2 linked regions of the Daphnia pulex genome follow. The protein of the gene in region 1 binds, or shares a complex with, the protein of each later gene. Links are inferred from orthologs where the notes say so. Each region holds a gene or a part of one and is shown on either strand. Other genes may lie near its edges.

Region 1 (4,792 bases):
CAACACCTGTTCAGCAGATTGATGAAAGTAGTGATGAAGAAGTACTTAGAGTTCCAAACAGAGAAATTCAAGAAGTTGATTTAGATGAAACAGAAGTTCACGAAGAAACAGACAGACAAGTGGAAACTCTAGAAGACATAGAAGACTGCATCAATATATCACCTGAAGTGTCATTTTCAGAAGATCTTACATCACGTAAACTCAGTAAAGTACCTGCAGCAATACAAGATGAAATTGAGTGTGAGGAGGACCCACTCTATTGTGCTTCGTTGAATGATTCGGTAAGAAGTGAAAAATGGTTTTGGTAAATAATCTTTTATATTCTCTTGCCTATATATTTCTATATTTTTGTGCAGCAATTGAATCAGACCCTTGATGGTGATGAAATAGTGGTAGTTAAAGTTCGCTTCATTGCCCAAAAAGTGTGGAGGATAGAAATCAAAAGGGTAACCTTCAACATCCAACATATCAATAACTAGTCCACTACATTTTTACTATTATTACTATTATTCAGGCTGATTATTTCAAAACCATCTGCCAGAAATTATCAGAGATCACTGATGTGGATGCTGGACAAATAATTCTATATTTCAATGATCAACTACTGAATGACTATGACAGTCTCAAAACAGTGCCACTTGGGATATCAGACATCATTGGTATGTTACTTGTCATTCAAATTACAGTCCATTTCAGCGTCATAAATCGGTTTTAGCAACCCTGGCATGAAGTCAATTGGTTTTCCAATGTAAAAACTTTGGACGATTGGGTTTGGTATTAGCGAACGTTGTAACAGTGCTTTTTTTTAACAGATGCTTCAGTCTGCAAAGAAGGAGTTGTCGTCAGCTCCAACGAAACATTGTTGGAGTTAAAGGTTCAGAGTCAGAACCGGAATGCACAAGTGGTTATATCAATGCGCCCCGAAGACCCTATGGCAGTTTTGATGCAGAAGTATGCGGAAGCAACCGGGATTGATTTGTCCAAATTGAAGTTTAAATTTGACGGCGAAATGTTGGAAGAAGATGACACACCGTCTAGTCTGGAATTTGAAGGTGGCGAGTGTATCGATGTTTTCATTAGAGAGTAGTTTATTTGTTCACTACATTTTTCTTAACTTTACTACTTTGTATATTTTCCCTTGCGCAAATAAATTATGCACTAATAAACAAAAATTCGAAAGACTTTTGTATTATGACGCACAATGTATTTTCATACCTCGCAAATAAAAATTGGTTAAGATAGAAGGCAGAAAACACAGATGGAAAAATTTGTGGGAGGGTGTAGTGGCTTAAATCCTAATATGTTGATGTTACAAGTCTTCATCATCTTCTGGTAGTGCAATGTGTTGAGCTTCCTCCAATTCACCTTCAATTTGCTTCTGCCAATTAGGATCCATCTGCACCTCAGGTGGCTGCAGAGCAGGCATAGCAACAAACTCTAGGTTAGGGTCTCCAATTAGCTTACGTGCTAGCCAGAGGAAAGGCTTTTCAAAGTTGTAGTTTGACTTGGCACTAATGTCATAGTACTAAATGAAACCAAAATTTAGCAAATTGCATTTACAATTTAGTAGCACAATTAACATACCTGGAGATTCTTCTTTCTGTGAAAGACAATGGATTTGGCCTTGACTTTACGATCTTTAATGTCAACTTTGTTGCCACAAAGAACAATTGGGATGTTTTCACAAACTCGGACCAAATCTCTGTGCCAATTTGGAACATTTTTGTAGGTGACACGAGAGGTTACATCAAACATGATGATAGCACATTGGCCCTGCAAGATAAATGAAAGTCAGTCGAGACCATGTGAATACAAGTATGCTGACATTTACCTGAATGTAATATCCATCTCTGAGACCTCCAAACTTCTCCTGACCAGCAGTGTCCCACACGTTGAATCTGATGGCTCCACGGTTTGTATGGAAAACCAAAGGGTGAACTTCCACACCAAGTGTGGCCACATACTTCTTTTCAAATTCACCAGTCAAGTGACGCTTAACGAAAGTGGTTTTTCCGGTACCACCATCGCCAACCAAGACCAGCTTGAAAGTGGGCATGTCAGGTTCGGCAGCCATTCTGTTGTAAATCCTACAAATAATGAGAAAAGATAAGTGAATCGATCAGACTTGATTGCGTCATTCAACAAGAATTTACTGGAACTTAATCTAACGACAACAAAATATATTTTTCTAAAAATTTACACACTCGTGAACACTTACAAGTTAACTGTCAATGTTTAATGTCAAGAGAAAAAAGGGACTATTTCAAACAACTACCACAGAACAGTTTTACCGCCACTGACTAGCTTAGTGCGTTGTCTTTGATGGAGGAAGATGACTGTTAGAGGTTACAACTTGAAAAATGCAGAATAAAATAACTATGATGACTAAAATACTTTCCATGCCGAATTAAAAAGAGATTGGCAAAAGAAACATTACTGCTTACTTAAAACAACGAAAAGATGAAGGATGTGGACAATATTCGAAGATAAATCTAACTCACCGGCGGTTTTAAGCTTTAGGTTCACAATCGCGCGGTTCTAATACCAAACTGGTCTCTAAAAATTCTGGTAGCGTAAAGGCTGGCTGAAAATGGGTGGCTCTAAAAAATTCCTAGCGAGATGTTGCCAAATTTCACTAGGAGAAACGGCGGGAATATTTTCCTTTTCTTTGAAAAAAAGACGGTTGGAATTTGAAAATGGAAAGTAGGCTGTAGCAGGGCTGTAGCTCTCTATTTCTCTAAAGCCTGTCTAAAGCTTTGAATGTAATTTATTAATGTTGAATTTCATTCAGGCCTATTAACGGGATGATGTTTTTTAATTTTTTAATCAACAATATATTTATTTTGTGTGAGATTAAAATGCTAAATGTGTTAATAAAAAGGATAGTAGCACTTAATTCAAATGAAATTACCTTTTAAAAGAAGAAAGAAATTCCTATAAGCATCACTGTATATAAATTAATTAATAGGACATTAAAAGACGTGGTAGCAGCATGATGAATATTTCTGTCAAAGTTATGATTGCTGTTTTTTTTGTTAGTCATTATTTCATTGTATGTTATAAAATCAACCGTTCGAAGAAAAATAACAACGGAGGCGATCATTCATACAAGCATCTGTATTTATTGATACGATGAATTTCTGGGTTACAAAAAATAATGGCGAGTTTTGTTTTACAAACAAAATATCAATGAACTATTACAAAATAATTTTCGGAAGGTTTCATCACAGTGTATAAAATCTTGGGAGATAAAGCTATGACGAACATTTTGATGCGATACCGGTTCGTTTGTAACTCAACGCGAAACTGACTACTTGAACGAGGATCCAAACAAAAAACGCAAGACAAAGGGGAATATGGGGATAGGGGGTTTCAGTAGTCATCACATTCCACATTGGCGAACTAATCATGCACACATAAAAATAAACTAAAATAATCTGAAATAAACATGGAACTCCAAGTTTTATCATATATAGTTATCAAAGTTAGGAGATTTTTTTATTTTTTGCAGCTTCAATGAACTTTGCCATCAGACTCTTGACAGAAAATGGGTCCTCTTTTTTGGCTCTTGTTTCTTTTTTTGTGCTTAACCTTGATGATGGATTTTTTCCAGAGTGCCCAAAGTGATTACTAGTCCTCTTGTTTTTGCAGTTAACATTCTTTGATGCCTTAAGTTTGTTTGATGTGATGGAAGGCGATGGGGCAATCAGACGAATGGTGGCGAATAAATTACCTTCTTCATCCACGTCTATGTCAACTTTTGACTTTGGTACCGAAGATGTAGAAGGACGACTCAATGGGACTTTTGTAGTAGCTTCTTGTGGTGATTCCAAATGTGAAGGTGCGAAGGGAAGCAGTCGAATCTCGTCGGGATCAATGACACTGGATTCCTCGAATTCAGATTTCACCAACCAAACCGGCGAATTGTGTTGAAGTAATTCAACTTTCACAGGCATAACATGCGGGGCCATTTTTGTTAATTTTCTGGGAGATTGGCTTACATTGGTTTCGATCAATCGTTTTTTTGCTTGAAGAGGTGTTGTTGTTTCGGGAAAATCGGAAAGAAGAAAGGGATTGGCAGTTATTTTCCCAGCGGCTAACGGTGGGTTAAGGACGGGAGCAACGAGAAATGGAGGTGCAATTGGTGCAACAGTGGTGATGAATAATGGATCCATTTCCATTTCTTGATCCATTTCTTTGACATCTTGAGGTTCCAGGAAATGGGTAAAACAAAGACGACTGTCATCGAGTGGATCAAATGCGCTGCCTTCCCAACAAATGTCTTCACAAATAGCGGGCGACTCGAGCTTCACGTTAGGTATTTGAGGTTTCTCCGTGAAATGGGAAAATGGCATATCCTTGTTAGAGATGTCAACATCTTCCGACACATCCTCAAATTGAAAAGGTGGACTGCAATGCCAATCAGATAAATCAGGGGTCTTCTTGGACATGGAGTCTTCAAGGAAAGTGGTCTCCATCATCACTTCTTGTTCCATTGCTGTTGCTGAGTAACGATCTGGCATTACAACTTCTCGAATTGGTGGAACATTCGTAACAGATTCCTGTGAATTCGGATATGCTACACGAGTAAACTGTGCTTTCATATGGGTAGAGGATGAATGAACAGGATATTCTGAGGGTGTCATCCAATTTGAATCAACTGGCATCAATAAAGGACTAGGACTTGGAGTTAGAATGGAAGCAGGTGCCAGATATTGAAGATTATCCATCTCTATCTCATGTTTTTTGTCAACAGTTAAGAAGGAAGATTGAGAAGAACAACCGATGGGAG
Region 2 (4,334 bases), on another chromosome or scaffold:
TGGGACTAGTCGATTATAAAGACATGTAGTTGAACGCTGATACGCCATGACGTAAAGCCATAAAAAATCTTGAGAAATAAAAAAAATACCAAGTGAAAGGGGCTTAACCGTAGCGTAGTCGGTTTGACTATTTTTTCCTCCTAAAGTTGGAAATGATCGATGAGTGACATACTGGACAGGAAAATATTGATACGAAAAAATTATGATAACTCAATACGTGATGGTTTCCCATTCCGCAGAGCTCGTCTGTCATCTCCTTTCGAGTTCTAAATGCTGAAACCAGATCACATATTAAATCTCGGTCGGCTCACGGCTCACATCCAAGAATGTTACCATCCAGTCAGTCCGGAATAAATACGACATTCCATCGTGATTCGTGATGACGGCATACTCCACACTCTTTTGAATCAACCGTACAATAAAAAGAAAAGAAACTACATATTAGGTTCTTACTTGTATTGAATTTGATTTGAAATTTGCCTGTGGTGAAATCACGGTCGTCTCAAACGGGGATTGTTATTGTACAGATCGTAAAAAAATAATTGAATGAATAAAATAGTGAAATGGGGGATCACAAGAAAATGGAAGAAACAAAAAGAACTCAAATTATGCATGACTGACCCAAGTCGATCATTTTTTTGCTTCGTTCAATTTGGCCAAGAGTTCATCGGCTTCAGTGTCCGTCTTCACACGAAGGAGCATGGGTGTCGGGACAGGCGGCGTTTTTGGATCAATAGGCGGGTTGGGAATGCAAACCAGCATGACATTATTCTTGCCGATTCGCTGGGTCGTTATTTGTGGGTTTAAAATGATGTTTAGAAGAATGTTGCCCAGCGAGGTATCGGCACGGATCACCAGTTGCGTTTTATCGTCCTTGACTTTCTTTAGATGGATTGTGCCAACACCTTTTTCCGTGTAATTGGCATCCTTTTTGTAAAACAGTTTACATCTGAGCGGGAAAAATGTTAGCGTTAAAACACAAAAAATAAGCCAATAAAAGTAAAATTTGTACCTTATAGAATAGAAGGCGTCTTCCTCTTTGACTTCTTTAACTTCCACTTTAGGTGGAACGTCTTCATCTTCTCCTTCCTCGCCGTCTTTACCACCTTCCGCTTCTTCCTTTTTCACTTCTGTTGCCGGCTTAGTACTAGAAACACAAAGATAATAATACGAATTAAAGACATTAAAATGAAAAATTGATTTGTTGGATTACTACCTAGAAAACCCGAACGAAAAGGCTGGTGCGGTAGTAGTAGTAGCAGCAGGTTTAGTGCCGGAAAAGGCAAACAACCCGCCGGTAGAAGGTGGACTAGTGGTTGAACTAGTGCTGGATGCCTTGAACGAAAATGTCGATAACGGAGTCTTTGATTCTTGATCACTTTTAGCAGGGGCGCCAAAGGAAAAAGTTGAAATCGATGGTGCTGTTGTCGGCGTTGAGCTAGCGAATGAAAATGTTGAGGGTGGTTTGGCCGGTGTAGAAACTGTCGACCCATTGCCGAAGAAACTGAAAGAGGGTTTTGGAGCTTCTGCTGATGCAGAACCAAATTGGAATTTCTTGTCTTCAAGCTTCTCACTGTCAATCTTGCCAGGTTCAGTAGTCATGTTTTCTTTTGAAGATGGTGAAGCTCGTTTGGATTCTAGATCTTTCAAATGCTTTTCATAATCTCGAAAGATGGGAGTGAGTACACAGCATGGGTTCTTTTTTACATGGTCTGTAATCCATGTTGTAACAGTCTCATTCAGAGACTTTAGGTTGGCAAGGTACTCTTTTTCATTAGCCCCATTATCAGTTGGTGTCTTTTCTCCATTTTCTGTCTTGCCTGTTTCTACAGTAGTTGGTACTTTGATAGCAAAGTTGGAGAATGCTTTACTGGGTTCAGAACCTGTGCGAACTCCAAAACCAGCAAACCCAGAAAAACCCTTCTTCGCCTGTAAGGGAATAAAATAAAACACGCTGTAAAAAAATATTCTGGAATTGGGAACACGGTTGTAGTTCTGTCATTCATTCAAACCTGGTTACAAAAAAACCTGAGAAATATGTGGAAAACATCTGACACACTTAAATACTAGTTAACCAATTGACTAGATTGTTACTTAGCACAATAAATTACCTCTCCATCATTGCCTGCAATCCTTCTTTTTGCTTGTCTAATCACACGGCCCTTTAATGCCTCGTCCGAAGCCTGTTGGAAGCTTCCCGCCTCCTCCTCCTCTTCTTCGTCATTCCAGTTGTCGTGATTTAATTCTCGAGTCGCCGTACGCTTAGCCATTTGAAGTTACCTGTTGGGTTAATAAGTCAACTGAACGGAGTCTTACTCTTACAATTTAAAACTGAAAGTAAATTACAATTTCCGGTTTCACACGATTTTCACACGATTCGAGCCAGTGAAAAAAAATTCTGGCAACACTGTCTGGCAACAATGTTGCCAGACATTTTTTTTAAACATCGTTTACTCGAGGTCGTACCCATCTTTCGAGAATATAAATAAAATTCCATTCAATGAGTGAATAGCCTAAAAATTGCCGATAATTTACCTAAGAAGAATTCAGACGTACCCAGCTCACGGCAAAGTCAAAGTGGAAGAGAAATTATACTTCACGACATTCCATGGGTGGGATAGAAATGTAAACGAAAGTTTGCTGCTGAACGGGTACCTGCATGTTGAAGGACTGCATCTTCAGATCGTAGTGCGTCTCGGGCAGTAAATGAGTGACAATATGAGTGCGGGTGTTGCCGCCCAAGACCGTCACCTTGGTGTAATCTCCAGCACTTGTCGTCGAATGGTAATAAATGAAGAAACCTTCTAGAGGAACGCATAGTCTAACATGAGCCGAACAAGAATCACAAAGAACAGTGCACTCGAATCAAATAAGAACATAAATTTGACTGAAAGGCACGGATTTGGATTTTACATGAGAAAAGATAGAAAGGGCAAAATCTTCAAATAACGGGAGTACTTGAATTATGTCAATATCCATAACTAGTACGCAATTTAAAAAATAAATACAAAAAGAAAACAACAACAGCCCAAAAAGAAAGAAAGAAATCGCAAGCAAAAATTGAATTTCGTAAAATTGGTTTACCGCAAAAAAATGTCCGGGTGTGTATCACCCTACTACACAATACAAGTCAATTAAATCCAAACGACTTTCAAATAAAAAATCGCACCGGCCTGTGTCAGTCACTCACAATGGTCCTTACAAAGATAATAACTTATCGTTGATAAGTTGCCAACAAATCCCATTTGGTGTCGCTTGTGTAGTGCTAGTGCCCCAGTGATAATGTATAACATACAAAAACTTCCCCGGCTCCTGACAGCTTACAAGGCGCTGGAGCGTCTGTCGCAGAGCCAGTTTAATCTCGATCAGATTGCCGTCGTTGCCGAGGCGGCCAGTGGCCAGGTGGATCTGACGATGCAGTCGGAGCAGTCACAGTGTCAGCCTTTCGGAAGCGGTGAGGAGTCGTTGAGTGCCAAAGCCGGATCTGGCGGTAATTCATCTCCGCTGGATGCCACATGGATCAAAAGCGCCCTCACTCTCAACGACGTCGAACGTGATCAATGCCGGCCACTGTCAAAATACATGAGGAATATGATGATCTTCAATTGGCTGCACACGCTGGAGGACGGCCCAACTGAAATACTCTAAAAGAAAAAAAAAAGGTTACGATGAAATCTCAACGAGCTAGAAGACGAATAGCGCCAAAATGTATACAAGGAGATAACCCAACTAGATCGCCGATGGAAAAAAAAAAGTTTGAACCAACACCATTTCGGTTATATTAACATCTTTCGAGAACTGGTATTATTTATCTACAATTATCTAATTTCTCCTTCTGCGACGGACGAGCAAACGAAAACCCCACGGTGTTTCATTTAGCGAATGATTTATTTCCGTATACTGTATGTCGCACACATATACTTGTGAATCTATACTTTCCATTCCACGATTATTCTTCTTTCTTTATAAACGGACCGCGGTTGCTGCTGGACTACAAAAAGACAGCATTCACTCAACTGCGGCCTCGATTTCTAAACAGCAACCCCCGAATAAAGATAACTAGGTTTGGCGTTAAGAGTTTACCAGTATTATTGATGTTCCAAGTTTAAATAGTATGATGCCCGATTCAAGAGATACATATGGCTAAACGAGTAAACGGGCACCGATACGATCCTACACAGTAAGATACAATTAAGGTGTCAAAGCATTTCCTTTTTAGCCAACGCAACCACGCTACAAGGTTAAATACGGTTGATATGGTTCACCGCTATACGCTGGATTTCGTCAATAAATCGTATAGGTCTTCTAACTGCAGCAGTGGTTCGGTATCCCTT

What was found.
Region 2: the proteins of GTP-binding nuclear protein Ran (region 1) and nuclear pore complex protein Nup50-like are in contact, whole or in part, in a crystal structure (PDB 7MO0), measured with the Homo sapiens proteins. The link is inferred for Daphnia pulex from reciprocal best matches to the Homo sapiens genes RAN and NUP50. Residues at the interface, in NP_006316.1 of Homo sapiens: Arg29, His30, Thr32, Gly33, Glu34, Phe35, Glu36, Phe52, Val124, Asp125, Ile126, Lys127, Ser153, Asn154, Tyr155, Phe157, Glu158, Phe176, Ala178, Pro180, Ala181, Leu182, Ala183, Pro184, Glu186, Val187, Asp190, Pro191, Ala194, Tyr197; in NP_009103.2 of Homo sapiens: Pro344, Pro345, Lys346, Val347, Val352, Lys362, Cys363, Lys364, Phe366, Tyr367, Lys368, Asn371, Glu372, Phe373, Lys374, Glu375, Lys376, Gly377, Ile378, Lys384, Lys390, Gln392, Leu394, Arg396, Thr399, Asn400, Leu401, Asn403, Ile404, Leu405.

The regions. Positions count from the first base shown.
Region 1 is NC_060020.1:1,357,938-1,362,729, reverse strand, and holds GTP-binding nuclear protein Ran, read right to left. Parts: upstream 2,655-4,792; 5' UTR 2,502-2,654; exon of another isoform or gene 2,445-2,501; intron 2,317-2,444; exon of another isoform or gene 2,219-2,316; intron 2,088-2,218; 5' UTR 2,075-2,087; coding exon 1,832-2,074; intron 1,774-1,831; coding exon 1,585-1,773; intron 1,526-1,584; coding exon 1,310-1,525; 3' UTR 1,173-1,309; downstream 1-1,172. Other genes in the region: NFATC2-interacting protein-like, read left to right, coding at 1-281, 357-446, 515-659, 813-1,087; uncharacterized protein LOC124192239, read right to left, coding at 3,486-4,792. UniProt on the Homo sapiens protein: GTPase involved in nucleocytoplasmic transport, participating both to the import and the export from the nucleus of proteins and RNAs. Switches between a cytoplasmic GDP- and a nuclear GTP-bound state by nucleotide exchange and GTP hydrolysis.
Region 2 is NC_060026.1:3,790,814-3,795,147, reverse strand, and holds nuclear pore complex protein Nup50-like, read right to left. Parts: upstream 2,410-4,334; 5' UTR 2,347-2,409; intron 2,281-2,346; 5' UTR 2,271-2,280; coding exon 2,112-2,270; intron 1,930-2,111; coding exon 1,217-1,929; intron 1,155-1,216; coding exon of another isoform or gene 1,148-1,154; coding exon 1,013-1,147; intron 950-1,012; coding exon 631-949; 3' UTR 442-630; downstream 1-441. Other genes in the region: uncharacterized protein PF11_0207-like, read right to left, coding at 4,242-4,334. UniProt on the Homo sapiens protein: Component of the nuclear pore complex that has a direct role in nuclear protein import. Actively displaces NLSs from importin-alpha, and facilitates disassembly of the importin-alpha:beta-cargo complex and importin recycling.